Arabidopsis thaliana: one gene and its partners. The protein of the gene in region 1 purifies or fractionates together with the protein of each later gene. This does not show direct contact. Each region holds a gene or a part of one and is shown on either strand. Other genes may lie near its edges.

Evidence for each region.
Region 2: the proteins of AT2G16365 (region 1) and FHY1 purify together in Arabidopsis thaliana (affinity purification with mass spectrometry, with the first as the bait; one study listed by BioGRID). This does not show direct contact.
Region 3: the proteins of AT2G16365 (region 1) and ELF3 purify together in Arabidopsis thaliana (affinity purification with mass spectrometry; 2 studies listed by BioGRID). This does not show direct contact.
Region 4: the proteins of AT2G16365 (region 1) and ELF4 purify together in Arabidopsis thaliana (affinity purification with mass spectrometry; 2 studies listed by BioGRID). This does not show direct contact.

The regions. Positions count from the first base shown.
Region 1 is NC_003071.7:7,072,406-7,080,079, reverse strand, and holds AT2G16365 (F-box family protein), read right to left. Parts: upstream 5,719-7,674; 5' UTR 5,634-5,718; exon of another isoform or gene 5,478-5,633; intron 5,429-5,477; exon of another isoform or gene 5,186-5,428; 5' UTR 5,141-5,185; coding exon 4,424-5,140; intron 4,342-4,423; coding exon 3,695-4,341; coding exon of another isoform or gene 3,691-3,694; exon of another isoform or gene 3,431-3,690; intron 3,368-3,430; coding exon of another isoform or gene 3,251-3,367; intron 3,095-3,250; coding exon of another isoform or gene 2,960-3,094; intron 2,848-2,959; coding exon of another isoform or gene 2,770-2,847; intron 2,263-2,769; coding exon 1,800-2,262; intron 1,409-1,799; coding exon 899-1,408; 3' UTR 561-898; downstream 1-560. Other genes in the region: AT2G16340 (uncharacterized protein), read right to left, coding at 6,596-6,835, 6,902-6,946. UniProt on the Arabidopsis thaliana protein: Together with PCHL, regulates growth and development adaptation to the ambient environment by controlling negatively phytochrome B (phyB) dark reversion, a temperature-dependent thermal relaxation process during which phyB reverts from the active to the inactive state.
Region 2 is NC_003071.7:15,800,858-15,804,607, forward strand, and holds FHY1 (far-red elongated hypocotyl 1), read right to left. Parts: upstream 1,937-3,750; 5' UTR 1,840-1,936; coding exon 1,787-1,839; intron 1,466-1,786; coding exon 990-1,465; coding exon of another isoform or gene 964-989; exon of another isoform or gene 912-963; coding exon 832-911; 3' UTR 561-831; downstream 1-560. Other genes in the region: AT2G37680 (glucose-induced degradation-like protein), read right to left, coding at 2,643-2,721, 2,796-2,923, 3,020-3,082, 3,155-3,209, 3,295-3,368, 3,461-3,604. UniProt on the Arabidopsis thaliana protein: Key regulator of far red / red (FR/R) spectrum-specific responses essential for the adaption to changing light conditions (e.g. de-etiolation), essentially by regulating PHYA shuttling from the cytoplasm to the nucleus and by directly regulating the expression of some target genes, depending on light conditions and phosphorylation status.
Region 3 is NC_003071.7:11,057,375-11,063,824, forward strand, and holds ELF3 (hydroxyproline-rich glycoprotein family protein), read left to right. Parts: upstream 1-1,569; 5' UTR 1,570-2,084; coding exon 2,085-2,303; intron 2,304-2,503; exon of another isoform or gene 2,504-2,665; coding exon 2,666-3,462; intron 3,463-4,642; coding exon 4,643-4,694; intron 4,695-4,784; coding exon 4,785-5,804; 3' UTR 5,805-5,950; downstream 5,951-6,450. Other genes in the region: ALPHA-VPE (alpha-vacuolar processing enzyme), read right to left, coding at 6,122-6,304. UniProt on the Arabidopsis thaliana protein: May be a transcription factor part of a circadian clock input pathway. Acts within a 'zeitnehmer' feedback loop and is involved in its own circadian regulation. Has no role in regulating circadian clock function in the dark.
Region 4 is NC_003071.7:16,733,761-16,736,473, forward strand, and holds ELF4 (EARLY FLOWERING-like protein (DUF1313)), read right to left. Parts: upstream 1,153-2,713; 5' UTR 1,121-1,152; coding exon 785-1,120; 3' UTR 534-784; downstream 1-533. UniProt on the Arabidopsis thaliana protein: Component of the central CCA1/LHY-TOC1 feedback loop in the circadian clock that promotes clock accuracy and is required for sustained rhythms in the absence of daily light/dark cycles.

The DNA of each region.
Region 1 (7,674 bases):
GATCAAGCAAGAAATAAACTAAGATATGGCCAAGGAAATGGTGACGCTTGAACAAATTGTAAAATGTCTAACAAATTTTTTTTTGTTCTTTTCTTCCGTGGGTTTAAGGTTCTTATATGTGCCAACGCGAGAACAAGGGTGTACCATGTGATAATTGCAAAGCGTACTGTAGGAAGGCATACGTCGGGCCTAACGATTATGGTCGTTGCGTGGGACTATATGGATTCCGTACGTGCACCTGTTATTATGAATGTAGCAATTGGCCATCTTCATTTTTATCATAAAAAAAGTTATCTATGTTTCATCACTTCATGTTTGTATGTGTTTTTGTGTACGTGTGTATGCATCAGAATACAAAAAAAGTTGTATGCATCAGAATAAAAGGAGCTTTTTTCGTATGACCTGATCAATGCTCTTACAAAAAATTTGTCATTGCAATGAATGATTCCCAAATAACATGAAAACTAGACGATTACCGCACCTTGTTTGGTAGAATATAATCAGAAAACTATACAAATAATATATATTAAATATAATAATAGCGTTTCGAAACATATATTAATAGATGTTTTGTCATATTGGAATCCAGAAGAAAAAAAAGACTAATATTTATAATCATAACAGAAATCAAAGCTTTTCGTTGGGTCTCGAATGGTCACAAGTCCACAAGACAATAAAGATTCAAGATTTGCGCCGAACACGCCCATGTAGCCTTTGCATTCATTAAACGCAGTACTAGTTCTTCTGGTTTTTAAGTCAAACAAAAGGACTGAGTCATTGTCAATGATGAAACAATCATTTGATTCAATGAACACAATGCAATTCTCCTTTGCACCTGGGAGCTTATGTACTGAGCAGCAGAGATTCGTCTGAGCTCCAAGAAAGATCACTCGGTCGTTCAAGTCATTAACTTGAACCCACTTTCTCTTTCCTCTTTCTTCATCAAGTCTAAACACTCTGAACCATGTATATATATATATTCATCATAACGCCGCCCAACAGGTGTGAACCGTTGCACTAGCAACAACTCCTCGCCTGACTGCACCAGACTTTCTTTAGAAGACTGTTGCGATCCTCCGACTGAGGGGATCTCCGTAACTTCGAAAGAAAGTTCGACAACAAAGACCCGTCCCCTTCCACTTGAATCAACAGCATAAAACTTTCCTTTGAATGCAACCAAATCTTGATATGCATACTTTTCAGGATGCTCCACAACTTGAGTCCAACTCATGTTACGGCTTCTATACATCACCAAATTGCACATTCTTCCAGCAAAAAGCACCGCAAAATCTCTGCTATCTTCACTATCCAGTTTAAGAAATTCAACTCTCTCGGTAATCTCCACCCACTCTAGTTTATAGGGAAATCCAAAGCGGTATTCACTGGGTCGCTTCTCAATGTAGGTTATCTGCATCGAAGATTATGGGGCTAAATTGAAGACACAAGGAAAATAATGATAATAATAACAGGACCAACTTTGCGGTCTTATTTATTAATTAGCAAGGTTAGAGAGAATTTATTAGAGATAAGATTACATGCTGCTAATACGATGGGTTTGATATCAGTTTAAATCCTATATATCTTAGTTATGAATAGTGTGACTTGTATATATTTATTTACAGAATCGTGATTAATACCACAAAGAATTCCAAACATTAGCTGATTTACCTCAAAATCAGTTAGACAATGAAATAAGTAACAATCTCAAGCACCCTACTAACTAAAAAGTGGTGGTTAAATGATTATCAAAAAGAAAAGATAAAAGTTTCAAAAACTAATATGAGCTTTTGAACACCAACCTCGTAGTATTGTCCAAATGGGATAATTGGTGAGGTAAGAGAGTTGAACAACACTTTATTTATTCCCATTCCATACTTGATACCATTAGATGACAAGGGCGACAACAATAACTTCGGTTCCCCATCATTTCGTTCACGCATCTCTGCCAATAGATAATCATCACCAAACGGAGTCCAGAATTTCACGAGATATATTGGAATCTTTTTTAGTGTGCAATATTCATTCGTTGGTCGGCCGTTGAACGAAAAGCCGACATTGAACGATATATCATGAGTTTTGATACCTAAGCAGCGGGAATGATCTAGTGGAGGTACAACAGACCGCCATGAGCTGCAGACGGAACGGAAGAGGAAAATCTCGAAAGATGTCTCAAGATGACCCATGATTAGTTCTAGTAAGTCATTCGGAAGTAAGGGCCAATCTGCCATCGTTAAATTCCACCGTAAAGATCTGTATGTAAAACTGAAGAATTAAAAGTTAAGGATATATAATGAAGAAATATATATTTATCACAATAAGATTTGATTTTGCTCCCTTTTAAAAATATATAGATTTCACATTTATAACCCAATTAAGAGTATATTATTATTTTAAAACATAACTAAAGTAAAATCTTATATATAGATAAATTGAAGAAAGAGATTTTTACTATGTTAAGATTAAGATTAAGGGAAATGAAGACGTCTGTCATGATAAATTTTTACTTTTCTCCATTTCACAAATATTTAAATTTTTACATTTAATTATAAGTTATAACCCAGTTTGGAATATAATAAAACATAAAGTTAATATACAATTTAAAAATATATTTTACTACATAAAATTGAACAAGACCCTACCAAAAAAAAATCGAACAAACCTTACCAAAATAAAAATAAAAATATTTGGCTTATATAGGTTTTAGGTATTTCGGATGGTTGATTTTATTCGTCGCATACAGATTTCGTGTGTGGTTTCTCTGACTGATTCCAGGCACCAAAGAAGGACAAAGTCCCACCACCATCCTCTAAACCCGCCAAATCCGGTGGCGGAAAGCAGAAAAAGAAGGTCCTTTACCAAATCACAATCACTTTTTTTTTTACTTGATCAGTAAGTTTCTTTGATTTGGTTTCTGGTGGGTTTTGTTTTATTTACGTTTCTCATTTCTTGATTTCAACAGAAGTGGAGCAAAGGAAAGCAAAAGGAGAAGGTGAACAACATGGTTCTGTTCGATCAAGCAACTTACGACAAGCTTATGTCTGAAGCTCCTAAGTTCAAATTGATCACTCCTTCGATTCTCTCTGACCGTCTTCGGGTAAACTAACTAACTCTCTACCTCCACTCTTTTCACTGAATTAGCTCTTTATAATGTGTTGGGATAGGTTCAAGATTATCGAGTTATTGAAAGAGAAATTTTATTGTGCTCAAGAATTTGATCATGTGTAAAATGTTGTATTGGTTTCTGTCGTAGATCAATGGGTCGCTTGCTAGAAAGGCGATAAGAGATTTGATGGTGAAAGGCACGATAAGGATGGTTTCTACTCACTCAAGTCAGCAGATTAACACTAGGGCTACTTGCTTGACTTAATGTTAAATGTTACTCTTTTTCCCTTGAATCAAGATTTTCGAGAGAACAGATTTACTTACCACTTTGAATTATGCTATCATTTTTGTAAGGCCAGTAACAAATCAAAATACTGATGCGGTAACGATTAAAAGGGAATATTTATGATGCAAACAAGGTATTCATACATAAACTGAAACTATTATAAGAATAGTCAGACTGACATATAAGGTAGAACCTGTCAAAATATTTGATCGTAGCAAGCCTGCTAGCTAGTTCTGTTTGATGTTCTTGACTTTACGTTGTAATGATAAACAAGGGAAGATGAGGATGATGGTTTTGTTTTCCTACCTCAAATCCCTTGCATTCCAAACCATGAGAGAGTTGGTCTTTCTAAGACCATATGGGTTTAAACCGCTCAGAGCCTTCCCCATCAATGCCATGGCTGCAATACTCGGATACTGTTTCTTCTCGAACTCCTTGTGACTCTCTGGCTCAAAGCTAGCTTCTTGCCCTGTTGGTTGATCTGTTGATGTAGTTTTCTTCTTGCACCACCTCTGGATCCATGGATGCAGAAGTGTAATGTCATCTCCTCCTTGTCTCAGATCATTGCTCTGTGAAACGACGGGTTCTTGATTTCTCGGTTGGAGATTGTTGATTCCGGACTTCAAGATCTCAAGGAATAGATTATTGTTCTCTTTTTCTCCCAGTGATGCTTCTTTCATCTTCATCATGCTCTTGGTTTCACTGGAATCTGAGGGGCTTGTCTTCAGACGCTTGACCCATCTACTGCTGGCTTCTACTTCTGGTTCCAACCGCACACGTTTGCAATCTCTGGACAGAAAGTGTTCCACATTCATACTTTGAGTAGCCGAGTTGCTTGTTTCTCCCTGATGTCCATCTACTGAATTCTCTCTATCCGGAACAAGAGGTGGTTCTTCATTCATGTCAGGTATTTCGGTCCTTGGAATGGCTGAGTAGCCTTTTATTCCTTTTCCCTGCGGAATTTTCAACATCTTTCACAATCACAACTTTCAACATTTTGAGTAAAGATATGTAGATATGTCGATTGAACAATACCTTAGTTGATGACGAAGAAATGGAGCCGGAAAGATGTATAGTCTGAAGTCTATCCATTTCTAAGGTATTAGTCTCTGCCGATGATTCATTTTTTCTCGGTCCATCTTCTTGAGTATCCTTTGAGCTTTCTAGAGACTGCAGCCTTACTCCTCCTCTATTGTGGGAGTGATCTTGATTAGGAAACAGATCAAGATATCCACCAAAAATCTTCCCTTTCAGTTTCATGGAAACTGTAGACCCCTTCAATAACTGATGACTATCTTCTTTAGGCAAGTTAACAGAATCAACCGTTGCGTAAATCCTCACCGGTCTTATCAACTCTAGCAAGTTTTGAGTAGTCTTTTCTTGAATTGGGAAGTCAAGACGGTTACTAGAACTGAAGTTCTCTCCTTGCGGATACATCCAGGGCATTCTATTAACCATAGCTCTCGAGCTTGAACCAACATCTTCATGGAAAGACGGTTTAGTAGTAGTAGTAGTAGTAGTCTCTCTCTTTTGAGAAACCTTGAACATAGGAAACGGCAAGACCTCGACTCCATGATTCTCATCTTCAGGTCTTATCAACTGCTTAGAGCAATTGGTCTCACCATCATGAAACTTCACTTCACTACCTGACTGAGTCCAACGACCTAACCAAGCTGATTCATATGGATTGACTGAAGAATTCTTGCTGATTCCTTTGTTACCTTTACCCAAAACCATAACATGTTCAGACATTTGTACGTACCTACAGATCTTCTCCAGAGGCTTTGATTAAATCACCTGAGAAGTAAATATCCTTTATCTCAATCATAATTCAAAACAAACACAATACTAAACTAGAGCTCATGAGCATCAAGCAAGTGGATAATTACTATGATCTCAAAATTCTCTTCACCAAATTTCACACAACCTCAGAATTAAACCTAAAGAACACAAAAAGTTTCATCAAACAAATGTGAGGAGGATCACATTCTTATTCTTTTTTTGATAAACTAGGATCACATTCTTTTTCAGTAAATTCTCCAAAAAAAAAAAAAAAAAAAAGAAGCTAATTCCACAAATTTATACTTACAATTACACCAGATATATAAAATCCAGAAACAAGTACAAATCCATTTTTCTTGTGTGGAAGAAATACAAATCGATTCAATCGATGAGCAAACTGTACCACCAGAAACAAGAGTCACACAAAAGAAAAAAAAAAGAGATTTGTGATGGAGATTATTACCAGAGACGAATACGTGGAGGTACACTGTCCAAAGAAACGAAGTACGAATTTTCTTATAATTCTCTCAAGTACTTATTTGGATGAGAAAAAAAAAAAAAAAAAAAAAAAAAACAGAACCTTCAGAAGAAAATAAGACAGAAGAGATGGGCTTTTGTCGGAAAGAGCAGAAGATGTAAATCTCAATATCTATTGTCCAAAGAAGGTGTTAAAAAGAACCTCGTATTTCGTATAGGCATCGACGAATTATAGTTATCTTCGAATTTTTTAATAAGTTGAAAAGTTATTTTAGTTGAAAAATGACGTGTTCATTTTTGTGCCATGTCTAATGCAAATGGGCACAATAATATCAAGAACATTAACTGTACATATATCTAGATATTTTTAATTTTGCCATGTGTGTCTATCAGGTTATAAAAATATCTTCTTCTTGCCCATAAAGTTTAAGAGATATCTTTCTTTAATCAATGTGTTTTCTATACGTCAACGTAGATCTTTTTTTATTAGATCATGTCTCCAAAGACGGCTATGTACTTTTAGCATTCAAATGCTTGTAAACGAAAACAAGAGTCTTCGTGCCTATGACTAGGCAATTGAATCGTGGTAAAGGTTGATAAATTTTTTGATCAGCCAAAATCTTTAGTAATGTCGAACAATTTATCTCAAACGAAACATATTTAAAATTATGTTGTATGAAGCAGTTTATTGTTCAGTAATTAGAAAATGCAAGTGTAGAAGAGATTGAATGAGTTTTAGACCAAAAAAAAAAAAAAAAGAAGAGATGGGATGAGTTATTTTTGGCCATTTAGATAATGTTATTTGCGTAATCACGAATTTTGCGGTATTAGTTTATTTGCGTCGTGCAAAATGGCTAAGTAAGCATTAAATTACATCAAATCTTTAGAGAGAGAAATAACTTGCAATAGCAAATGATGAGGAAACTAACCTATACAATAAAGTTTATATTAGAGTTGATGTATAATATATAATATGACAATTTTATCCTCCCTACTATCACCATTAACCACCACCACAACAACCATCACCACCACAGTTTCGCTATCGGCGGAACCACCACTACCGCCGTCATCTTCATCACCACTACCGCAGTCCTCCAACTCCAAGCCACCATCTTCATTGGAACCACTGCCCTCGCCGGAGCTACCAGTGTCCTCACCACCATCGCCGTCCTCCAAGCCACCATCCTCGCGAGAACCACTCGCCGGATCCACCGCATGTCCTCACTAGATTCACACTGTTGCCGAACTTACCACCATCGTTGGAGCCACCATCGTCGGAGCCGTCACCTCCTCCATTGGTCATTTAATTTATCTTTTATGTTAGTTAACTGATACATATATAGTGCTATATTTTTAAATTTTTATTAAAAAATTGTTAAATTCTGCCAAAAAAAAAGAAAAAGAGAAAGAAAAGTAAATTATAAAGGAAAAAACAAGAACTCTACAAAAAGTTTTTTTTAATAATAATGATTATGCCAAGATTTGTTAGAGAATCTATAATGGTGAATTCTTAGCAAAGATTCTTAGCAATATTTTTATAATTGATTTGAAAGTTTTGAAGTTAAAAGTTTGGATAAAAGTTTAAATGTTTGGCAATGTCCAATCGTAAGCTCTTAAGTTGAGGTTTTTAAAAAATATATAAACATTTGATTTTTAAAAATTTTAATAATTATTGCAATTCATAAAATTTGAAACATACATGATATCAAAGTTTAAACATACATGACATAAACATACATAAAACGATTAGTAGTACATAATTACAGAATTTTGCAAATATTTCTCATTCTCCCACTTATATCACAACACGTGTCTGGCTCTTAAGATGTATTTAGACTCTTATATAAGAGTCATCTCTTACCAATTATATGAATTAAACATTAAATTTTATACCTATTTCTCTTATAACTATTCTAAGAAACTACTATTGAAGATAATCTTATATAACTACTCACTAGTGGTTATAATTAGTAAAGGTGTCAAACGGGCTTAGTCCAAATAGTACTGTAGTGGGGTGGGTTTAG
Region 2 (3,750 bases), 8.7 Mb from region 1:
AGTGTGAACAAAATCATATACTATGTTCGACTTTACGTGTTAAAGATACTTACATAAAATTACTAAGGATAACTATTTTTAAAGTTTGGTGTTAATTTCTTTTTAATCAACAATTTTTTGTTTTTGTTTTTTTTTGCTATTTTTATAGCGAATTTAAAACTACTAGACATTGACCAAGAAGACTGATAATGCGAGGGAACCACATTCTAGCAAATCTTGAGTCTTGACCATCATGCCAAAATGTTTTACTAGGAAGAATATCAATAAGCTATCATCTTTTTCTTTATTAAATCAGTTTAGATTTTACATTAGAAAGGAACAAGTTGAATATTAACAAGACTTTTGACCATAATAAGAAAAAGTTATGAATTTTTGTATTATGTTCAGAAGAGAGTGTATTGGAGATAATTTGGAGAGAGCAGATTGAATATAGGTGACCAACCAAAAAAAGAAGAAGATATCATCTGAACAAACTTATTAAAGAACATTGACTCTCATTTCTCAGTTAAGTTGGTACTGAAATACATCAGGGATACTCTTGAACACAAGATTGGTTCATATGAAGGATCAGAGTGTCATAATCATCTCAGAATTTTTTTATACTAACTTTTATTTCTGATCCAGGCAGAACAAGATATATAAGCAAGATTAGTTTTGCAAGCTAATAAAAATCTTAAAAGTTGAAGACTAGAGTTGCAAACATTTCAAAGAAGCTCTCTAATCACTTTGAATTGAACGTTTTTTTAAGGTTGACAAGAATCAAAACAGAACGAGTACAGTTCTATGTACATACATCTCTTCATATATGTTTTGAGTCTCAACATCATTTTGTTACAGCATTAGCGTTGAGAAGTATTGTTCAAATTCTTGATCAATGGTAGGCTTCTTTGTCTCATGTAGAGTAGAATCATCTGTACACATGAAACCAAGTTAGTGAATCCCCGGTTCATTGAATCAATACGGTCAAACCAAAATCCGGTTTTCTTTACCTTGGTTAACAGTCCATCTTCCAGAGGACAGAACAAACTTAGCAGCATTACTACTACATCCTTTAGCATCTTCCTCTTCTTCTTCTTGTTCATCGAGATAGAGAATGTTTTCAATGACTTTCTCTGAAAAATCCTCTAAGTTCTGAGTCCCATAGATGTAATCTAGATGGCTTTCGAAAGAGATCATCTTGTCTTCACCGCATGATCCAGATGATTCCTCTTTCATCTCTATATCATTGTTACACTCCATAGAAGTTGTTGAGTTCACATAAGAAGACATTGAATACTCTGTATCAATCTCCGAGTTACCATTTGTATTCTCTGAACAAGCAACATTGGCAAAACAAGTGTGTTTTGACAGAGGTAATAACGATAACTCATCAGATTGATCTGTCTGAAATTTCCTCTTCTTGCTCACCTCAACTTCTTCCATTTTCAACACATTTTTACTACTACTTATGATCATGTGATGGAAACTGCAAAAAAAAAGAACAACACATATTAAGATAGTGGATGGATCTTAATCACCAAATATATGAAATTGACTTTATTAATCTTGAACTTAATAAGGGTTTAGGAAAGAATAACAGGAAAACTTTCTTAATCTCAACGATTAAATAAGCTAAAATCAAGATAAAACTTCAATCATCCTCTGCAGCTATGATTTTTGGTCAACCATTGACATGAATACATACATAATCAGTCAATCCTCTGTATCTTAAAGAAACTGAGAAGAAGCATAATAAGAAATTTGATCTCTAATGATAATATATAGGAATAGATTGAGAAACTGAAACCTGTTAATCTCAGATGGCTTCTCGTTGTTGTTATCCACTTCCACTTCAGGCATAGATCGCAGAGAGAGAGAGAGAGATAGAGAGAGTTCAAAGATAATTGTTTTTCTTATTACTCTTTTAAAAAATGCTCTTTCCACTTTCAGAGGGTCTGAAAATCTGGAAACTGCGTAACTTAAAATACATAAATTAAGCATCAAGTGTACGACGCGCTACGTTGGAGCGTGTATTACACGAAACATTTGAATCCGTTGATCTCGTCGACATGGTGTTTGATTTGGCGCGTGAAAAGAGTCTACGTGTTGGCGAGGTGACCCATCTTCTTACACGGGACCGTTTTTTATTTTTATCTTTCGCTCCATACGATTTTGCAATCTTTTTTACTATTGTCCCATAACGATTTTATGGGCTTTTGGATGAGGATGTATAAATATTTATCAATTTTTCCCTTACATAGGTATAAATATTCATTATCTTACAAAGATAATAGTTTATAAATTTTATATCATTATTTAAAGAAAATAATATGATGTAGAACTGTCTTTTTAAATTTCTATTAAAAACTTAATTTTAGAAGAATTTGGATTTTTTTTACAAAAATTTTTAGAAAAACTTCTCAACTATTTGGTAATTATTTTTTTGGACAATTTGTTCTTTTTCCAGATAAACTATTAGCTTGGTACCATAATGACAAAATAGTATTTTTAGTTCTTTACTTGGTCTGGTCTACTAGCTAAGCAAAAAAATATCTTACTAATAATTTATAATAATTGACACGTCATAATGTACTGGATCACGTGCATCGCATGTTTAGACGAGAGTATCATATGGCGCTGTCTGATGATTTTGGTAGCATTCATCATTGCAACTCGTAAGAAGAAAAGCTGAAACCAGATCTTCCTTCGTTAACTGTTTTCAGCTCCAGCTTCTGAAACGGACTGTCCAGAAACAAAATATCATCAGGTTTTATCTCAAACAACAACAGATTATATAGTTTGTATCTTGGACTAACCTGCTGTTTGGATCATAATAGAAACCGCTGATGGAACCATCGCTGCAGGAGAAGCATACGTAGTAAAATCCAGCTATTGTTAGTCCACAATCTGTGCCAACGTTTACAAAGTATTGCTCTTTCCATCTCTGCACCACCACAAAAATAAACCCGAGTTGCAGGAATTATGGAATACTTGAGAGAAAATGATGATTGGATTCGATAGGAAAAACTGAGAGTTATACCATAAATATATAAGGATAATTGTTAAGATCCAATTGCCTGCCACCATCAGATTCAACTTGTCCCTGCAGTATTAAGTCCAGAACGTTGCTTAGGAGATGTTACTGACTATACAAACAATGTTACTCGAGTGTTACCTGAAGAGGCGAAAAAGACGGGAACTTTGACCAATGTCTCATATCATCTTCCCTCCTGTGACAAACAAACTTTCAAAAATTTATTCACGATAAGAAATCATCAGTTTCAAATCTACAAGAATATAGGAATTGGGACATACGTTGCTTCCCATTTTCCGGTGTAAAAGGTATAATTCTTTCCATCAACGATTTCCCCTTCCCAGAATGTTATGACCTGACACTCACAGAATCAAGAATCGTGTCCCCTATTAGAAATTCAAGGGGAAGCAATATGAAGAAAAAATGAGTAAGAGTGTAAGGGCTTACAGGAGTGTCTGCCATGGGAACGTTTAGAGCTTCCATGGTGCCACAAAGATAACCATGTTCAAGGTCAATACCCTGTATCTGGACGTTGACTCTCCAAGCTTCCTCCTTCTGTTGATTAGAGACATTTTGCGTACCAGAAAATGCCTGCAGCACAGCATAAAAACATGTGTGTTCCTCATCTTTAGGTTCATTATGAATAAACAATCTCTTTGAGCCAATGAATGTTATACAATCCCAACTAGATACAAATGCACTTGAATTAAGCATACATGTCAACATGAAAAAGATAT
Region 3 (6,450 bases), 4.0 Mb from region 1:
TGACCAAACTATTTTGAGTACCATTGGTAATTCCTTACCTTAAGCTTCCAGAGGTATTAGTGCTATATATTCATAGTGCCACCGAGTATTTTGAACTCCGAAATGATTTCTCACTATCCGACCACTCCCAATTATATAACATGCTTAGAATTATTCGTAAGATGGATCGTAGTTGCATTTTACGACACCATACAGGACAAGTCCATGATAGTTTGAGTTGGTGGATTTTGGAACCCCTGCAAATTTATTTTATACATAACAAAGGCCCCAATCCATTCCTTAGCATCACAACTTGGGACTTCTATCTTTTGAAGGATACATTCACTTGTTGGTTTTGGTAAATATGATTGTTTCTTTACTTCCGAATAAGCAATATATAAAAGTATCTAAAAACGGAAGTAACTTTTGATGATCCTAAAGGTTTTGTAATTGATACATGTCCAAAAACCTCTTAATATTCTTTCTCACAAACTGTTGATGGAGTTAACAAAGGGAGACAAGGTAATTGGGACAATATCAACGTTAGATACAGGACAAGTGAAAAATGTGGGGTTGATGTCTTCAGCTGCAGCATATCACCGTTGGTATATATTGTCAATTATTAGTCCTATGGATTTGAAACGTGTTTTAGTAAATAAGAGTGTCCAAGTGGGACATTTCCAATAACGTATCACAGCTCCTAGAGCTTTTGCTATGTTTCTCTAGGCCTGGGCCGCCTAGCCCACATTCCAAGCAAGGAAATGAATGGAGTTGGGCATCAAAATTTTGGAAGCATTTTTAAGACAAATTATCTTTTAAGTTTCCTTTTTTAAACATAAACTATATTTTAGGCTTTTTTAAGATAAATATTATTTGGATTTTCTTTCACTCATATTTTTGGATTTCAACTTAACAAAACATAGGGCGTGTCTATTTGACTCCACCTACCCACCCTACTGGAGTTCGATCCCACTAAATCGCGTTATCCCGCATAGTAGGGATTGACTATGGATCGGACTTTGTCGATCCAAAGATATCTAAGAAATTCAGAAAAGATTGTATAAAATTCAGAAACGATTTTACGAAATTCATGAAAAATGAGAAATACATGTTTTTTTTAATTTACGTCGGCATTAAAAACGTTGGACCGGCTCTGTGTTTCACCAAAGAAATTGTTTCAGTTTATGCATGATCTTCAACTTCCATATTCTTGTTTTCAATTCTGGAAATCCCTAACAGATCGGAGCTCTCCTCATTCAGTGAGTTGGAAGATTGCATGATTATATAATTACTCTTCACATCCACATATATTACATTATATTCCCCTATAATTTCATACAACCCTAGAAAAGAATCTTCAAGTAATCTAATCGTGTCGATGACTCCACTCATTTGCTAGAAAAGAAAAAACAAACAGACTTCATTTAGCTGAAAACAATCTTTTATTCAACATTACAAAGCACTGATCAAAGAACCTCTAACATGGTAATATATCTATGACATTTTACGTATCCTAAAAGAAAACAAAAAGTGATGTATTGGATGATGTTTTTTTTTTTTACTTTCTAGTTTCTTATTACAACGACAAAAAGAGTCCACGTCGTCACGCACTTTTCCGGTGGTGAAAAAAATGTCCAAATGGATTAAATCTATAATATCTCCAGAGAGATCCTCTCCTTCTATCTTTTTGGGCTCCACTTTTCCTATCTCTTTTTGCCCCTTTCCTCTCTCTGTTCACAAGTCATCTTCTTCCTTCCTCTGAATCTTGTTCCTTTTTGCTCTCTCTACTTGATTCACCCACTCTGTTTCTCGATTAGTACGTTGAAAACTCACTTTGGTTTTGTTTGATTCCTCTTTAGTCTGTTTTTCGATTTCGTTTTCTCTGATTGGTTTGGTGGTGAGATCTCTATCGTAGTTTGTCCTTTGGGTTAAGATATTTCATTTGATTGGTGGGTTTGTTTTATTGAAGCTTATTGTTGTGAAAGTTGGAGTCTTTCTCAGTTTTTAGGTTGAATTATTAAGAGAAAGGGAAGATTTTTGGTGTGAAGTTAGGTTATTTGGGGTTTGAGAAGTTTGCAAGTGAAAAAGGTTGTGAATTGTGAGTGATGAAGAGAGGGAAAGATGAGGAGAAGATATTGGAACCTATGTTTCCTCGGCTTCATGTGAATGATGCAGATAAAGGAGGGCCTAGAGCTCCTCCTAGAAACAAGATGGCTCTTTATGAGCAGCTTAGTATTCCTTCTCAGAGGTTTGGTGATCATGGAACGATGAATTCTCGTAGTAACAACACAAGCACTTTGGTTCATCCTGGACCATCTAGTCAGGTATTGTTTTGATTTTGATCATTGTATAGGCTCTTGATGTTATTAGTTGTATGAGTTTGGATGTTATATAGCCTGAAAGAGAAAGTAGGACATTGGTTGATCTATGTTTCAATTGTTATCAGATCATAGTATCTTCTTTTTGCTTATGGATTGAGCTTTTAGGATTGAATTCTCCTGTATATATGAGAGTCTTGTAGACACAAGTTTATCTAAGTGTGGTTTATTTCTTAAAACTAACATTCTTGTTGTGCCTGATTCTTTTTATGTTCTGAAGTTCGATGAAAGTTTCTTGTGATTGCCCTGAGCATTCAGACTATTGCAAGGACATGAGAAATAATCCTTTTTTACCCTCTTCAATGCAGCCTTGTGGTGTGGAAAGAAACTTATCTGTCCAGCATCTTGATTCTTCAGCCGCAAACCAAGCAACTGAGAAGTTTGTCTCCCAAATGTCCTTCATGGAAAATGTGAGATCTTCGGCACAGCATGATCAGAGGAAAATGGTGAGAGAGGAAGAAGATTTTGCAGTTCCAGTATATATTAACTCAAGAAGATCTCAGTCTCATGGCAGAACCAAGAGTGGTATTGAGAAGGAAAAACACACCCCAATGGTGGCACCTAGCTCTCATCACTCCATTCGATTTCAAGAAGTGAATCAGACAGGCTCAAAGCAAAACGTATGTTTGGCTACTTGTTCAAAACCTGAAGTTAGGGATCAGGTCAAGGCGAATGCAAGGTCAGGTGGCTTTGTAATCTCTTTAGATGTATCAGTCACAGAGGAGATTGATCTCGAAAAATCAGCATCAAGTCATGATAGAGTAAATGATTATAATGCTTCCTTGAGACAAGAGTCTAGAAATCGGTTATACCGAGATGGTGGCAAAACTCGTCTGAAGGACACTGATAATGGAGCTGAATCTCACTTGGCAACGGAAAATCATTCACAAGAGGGTCATGGCAGTCCTGAAGACATTGATAATGATCGTGAATACAGCAAAAGCAGAGCATGCGCCTCTCTGCAGCAGATAAATGAAGAGGCAAGTGATGACGTTTCTGATGATTCGATGGTGGATTCTATATCCAGCATAGATGTCTCTCCCGATGATGTTGTGGGTATATTAGGTCAAAAACGTTTCTGGAGAGCAAGGAAAGCCATTGCCAAGTAAGTTCACTAGAAATTTACAGTTTGGTTATTTATTCTCCGCTCTTTCTATTTATCTCCTTCTTTGATACCAACATTTTTTGCTTGAAAGAAGTTAATATTTAAGCATTGTTCCGTAGTCTTACTGAAGCTTTTTCCTCTGTTGTTTTTTGCTATTTTCATTGAGGACTGTGGTAGGGCATATTTCACTATCACCAAATTTCAAATTTCTAGAACACTCTCCTTCATATTTTTTTTCATGATTAATGCTGCAATTGATTGCTGATATACATATATGACTATAACTCAGTTTCATATTCTGTCTCATTTTGGGAGAAAGAGATTTCAGGTTTATGCTTGAGAAGTGATGGTTCTATAGTTGAGAGGCCCCTGATTCATCTAAAATGGTCCTATTATGTGTTTAGTTGTAGAGTCCTCGGTAGAATATTAACGCGTTTAACACGTTGGATCATGTTATAGCAGGGAGGGACATTCTCTGTTGACCTATATTGTGCAAGGTGCCCGCCGATGGCTTTATTACTATACCTTCTTTGCATCTGGTTGTTGGAACATGTCCCTGTCTCGGTTTGGTATTGCTTTTATTCTGCACTGTCGTCTTGGGCATTTTCCCTACTTGTCATTCAAGGGGTTGAACCAGGTAGGGAAATGTTTTTCCGAGGACCCCAGGATCTAAATTTTAGTTAACCATACGTAAAGTTAGTTTTGAGTCTTATGACGATGCAGAATTATAGTTTCTTCTTACTACTGCTTAAGAGGATCCTTAGTGTGGTTGTGAACTACAGAGTTTTTATGATTGTAGGCTTCATGACTTAACTTTTAAGGTTCAATGTACTCTAATCCATATGGTAAGGTATCGGATTCACGACCAATGCAAATAATAAGATTTTTATTTCTTGCTTCTTGTTAAATATCTGACATCTCATTTTGCAGAGGATAAGCTGCGCTGTAAGCTAGATTTCAATAAGCCCGTCCTTTGCATTGTTATCTATGCTTTAATATGTCATTGGACCCATTGATTTGGTTTTCTTCTATCTTTTTTGATTGGCTATGTATTCTTGTTTCTTTTTTCCTATCTCATTTCGATCGTATTGTTCCATTAGCTGTTCAACCTAAACTATGTCTCTCTTTGTTGAACTTTTGATGGATAATCTTCTTAATGTGACTCTGTTTCTCATTACAGTCAACAAAGAGTATTTGCTGTTCAACTATTTGAGTTGCACAGACTGATTAAGGTAAAGTCATTCAGAAACTTCTCATATGTTTCCATGAGTATTTGTTTCTTCTCGAGCTGAAACAAACCTCTTCAACTGTGTAATAATCAGGTTCAAAAACTTATTGCTGCATCACCGGATCTCTTGCTCGATGAGATCAGTTTTCTTGGAAAAGTTTCTGCTAAAAGCTATCCAGTGAAGAAGCTCCTTCCATCAGAATTTCTGGTAAAGCCTCCTCTACCACATGTTGTCGTCAAACAAAGGGGTGACTCGGAGAAGACTGACCAACATAAAATGGAAAGCTCAGCTGAGAACGTAGTTGGGAGGTTGTCAAATCAAGGTCATCATCAACAATCCAACTACATGCCTTTTGCAAACAACCCACCGGCTTCACCGGCTCCAAATGGATATTGCTTTCCTCCTCAGCCTCCTCCTTCAGGAAATCATCAGCAATGGTTGATCCCTGTAATGTCTCCCTCGGAAGGACTGATATACAAGCCTCACCCAGGTATGGCACACACGGGGCATTATGGAGGATATTATGGTCATTATATGCCTACACCAATGGTAATGCCTCAATATCACCCCGGCATGGGATTCCCACCTCCTGGTAATGGCTACTTCCCTCCATATGGAATGATGCCCACCATAATGAACCCATATTGTTCAAGCCAACAACAACAACAACAACAACCCAATGAGCAAATGAACCAGTTTGGACATCCTGGAAATCTTCAGAACACCCAACAACAACAACAGAGATCTGATAATGAACCTGCTCCACAGCAACAGCAACAGCCAACAAAGTCTTATCCGCGAGCAAGAAAGAGCAGGCAAGGGAGCACAGGAAGCAGTCCAAGTGGGCCACAGGGAATCTCTGGTAGCAAGTCCTTTCGGCCATTCGCAGCCGTTGATGAGGACAGCAACATCAACAATGCACCTGAGCAAACGATGACAACAACCACAACGACGACAAGAACAACTGTTACTCAGACAACAAGAGATGGGGGAGGAGTGACGAGAGTGATAAAGGTGGTACCTCACAACGCAAAGCTCGCGAGTGAGAATGCTGCCAGAATTTTCCAGTCAATACAAGAAGAACGTAAACGCTATGACTCCTCTAAGCCTTAATCCTCTCTATGCGTATTGTACTTGATATGTATTTTACAAAATTAGAAAAATTGTGATAGATGTTATCCTCAATATATGTACCATGTAAACGTATTATGGTGTAAGCCTCATTTATATGTGTTAATTTGTCTTAAAGCCTTGAAATCACTTGAACAACAAAGATTATTTGAAACAACTACTTACAATCACTGTTTCTTTTGTCTGTGACATCAAGAACTTAAGCATCCCATATTTACAACATCTTGTCTACATAGGAAGGAGTATAATTGGTAGTAAGATATTAATGGACATCGATTAATATAGGGCGGAGACGAAGATCAAGCACTGAATCCACGGTCAAGAGAGCTCCAAGGACTGGTAGGGATGGTGGGACAAGCCTGCATTGCTGCCTCCTCCATTTGCCTCATCTGAATCCCTGCGTTGCACATGTTTGCAATCGACCTCATGTGCTTTATTCCGTACTGAGACAACGATCCACAGTGCCTCTCGAAAGCTCTCACCTAACAACCACATAAAGGAGAATAAGAAAGTGATCATCACAAGAAGCTTAATCATCTAATGAGGACTGAAAGTGATTTTTTTCCGACATATCATATCGTATCTAACGTCCTGAGTCTTGCATCCTCTGGCCAATACCATTGTTTAA
Region 4 (2,713 bases), 9.7 Mb from region 1:
GAAAAAGTAGTGAAATCATAAATTTACTCAGTCACAGCAGAGCTAATCACTTTAAACCTCTTCATATGCCATTTTAATCCCAAAAAAAACTTATAGGTTTGATAGTTCATGTTTTGATATGAAATTGGCCATTTGTCCCCTTTCAAATAACTATGCTTCTTTTTAGTCCTTTTTGTGCAAAAGCTCTTTCGTCTTCTTAAGATCTTTGCTTTCTAGTGGTATATGAATGCCGAAATAGTTTGCCTGGGTTTTAGATCATGATCTCATGTATCAACATTTATTTTACTGCAGTTTCTGTTTGCTTTTTGATGGAAATGAATATTGTCACAACGTAGAAATTTTCTATGCTAGAGTTCTCTAATACACAGCCTAGTGAAAAGTCACTAGAAAACAACTGTATTTAACATGTCATACCAAATTGCATCACTATGTGACGAAATTACTTACTCCAAGTTGCAACAATCTAACCACAAGCCTTCATTTATTATCAAGGTCACATGAGAAAAGTCTCTAAATAGAATCAAACCAGAAGTAATCTAATACTGTATCAATTATTATTATAATCATTAGAGAGATTGCAGTAGAGACACATTGAAAAAGACTCAAAACCATAACTAAAATAACCCCAATAGAGATGGGTTTGCTCCCACGGATTATTCTAACGACAATCATCATTGCAATACAAAAACTAAACATTTACTTTATATCATAGCTTGAACCGGACAGATTCAAAATTCTCAAACCGGCCGGTCCAACTAAGAAGAAACAATTTGATTCCGGTTCATTAAGCTCTAGTTCCGGCAGCACCACCACCATCGTGACCGTTCTTCCCACCGTGAAAGCCCGACGAGAAACTAGTATTGAGATCAGAATACATGTTAACAACCTTGGAAATGTTTCCGTTGAGTTCTTGAATCAAAGCAACGTTCTTCGACATGTTATCAGCCATTCTCGATTGGTGATTGTCGTTGACTTGTTGAATCAGTGATCTGTTTCTGTCTAAAACTGATTGCACTTGTCTGAAATTCCGGTCAAGATTCTCCCACATCGCCGGATCCTCTCCCTGCTCTGCCTCCTCCGCCACGTTCCTCCGCCGTTTCGTCTCGCCGTTCCTCTTCATAATAATTTTTAATTGTGTTTTTCTCTCTTTTTGATTTTCGTCAAAGTCGAGAGAAATCAGATATTTATAGTAAATATCTTCTGAGTAGAATCGGACACCGAGGCGAGTAAGTTCTGTTTCATCACCACTTGATTAACAAGAGCGTGTATCTCACGTAGACGTATCTATCTGATATCAAAGAACACGCGCGTGAGTGAAGCTGTGAAGTGATTGGGTAGAGGAATAAAAAGTACATATCTTTTTATGCACTTTTCTTGGATTTATTTTTAATTAAACCATGGAGAGAGATAAGGATCTTATTGTAGAAATATCTAAAGATATTTATTGTAAAGTGAATATAAAGTAAAATATGAATAAAATAGGGAAAAAGGTATATGGTGTACGACTTGCCACGGTGCAGCAGGAACCAAATTCCTATACGCATGATCTCATGTTTAATGAATTGTAGTGTTTCACATCTAATTAGTTCCAAGTTTAGATAAACATTACAAAGAGTGTTAGATTCTTTAGAGAACAAACAAGAAGAAGAATCTCTAAGAAACTTTCTTTAGTTAATTCCAAGCTTCATGTTATGCAAGACAAGAGCTACAATAATCCGCAAGATATTTTTTTGTAGTATGATCAGAATTTGGTTCCCGGAACCTGGGCACTAACTACCAAAATCAAAATTCCAAAGAACCATAGTGAAACCATGATTCTCCTCCCAACTTTTTCTTCCATTACAAAGAACAAAACTTTATTTCACTTTTTTTGGCCCTTCCCTTTCGACTGTTATATATGATACAATCATCCTATAATGATAATGATTAAGATGATGAATTGCATAAATGATTCTAAAAATCATGAGTCATGACAATGGTGATGCACAAACAACTCGATGCTGAGAAGCAATAAGAGTATAGGGACCTCAATTCATTTCAGTCACCAATGAGTAATGATGAAAAACATTTAATTTATTTTTGGCAATACAGTTCTTAACCGCAACATTTTCCAAACTGTTTCACAAATGAATCCACTAACTGGAAAAACATGTGCCAGATTTTACTTAGAACGACCTTTTATGACACAATGCAATCTTGCAATAAGAGCTAAATGCGCTAAAACTTAAGCTGGCTTCTCAAAGATAAAGAAGCAGATAGGAAAACCAATAGAAATGGTAATTCTGCAACATCTAAATGGGTTGGTAAGTGGAAAGATTCAGAAGTGGACTCACAATGGCTCTAACTTGAATCCAAGTTCATAGAAGTACGAGTGGTAATCTTTATTACTACCATTCATATTGAATGCTTATTTGGTGAATACCCATAAATGAAGCAATGTCACCTTCTCGAGATATATGGGAATAAGGTTCAAATTCGTCGCAAATGTAATGTTTCTCGACCATTATGCGTTACTTGCGAAAACCATTGTCAAGGTAAAACATTTACGATAGACAACTGCATATTATATGTTATGTGGAATGTGTTTGATTCTTCCTTCAAAAAAACTTGTAATTTCTCTTTTAGTAGACTTATTGATCTGTTAAGGGTTGGCTTTGATGATTTAGAGTGATAAAGATAATTACCGCAGGAAATCATGAGGGGCAGAGAGATA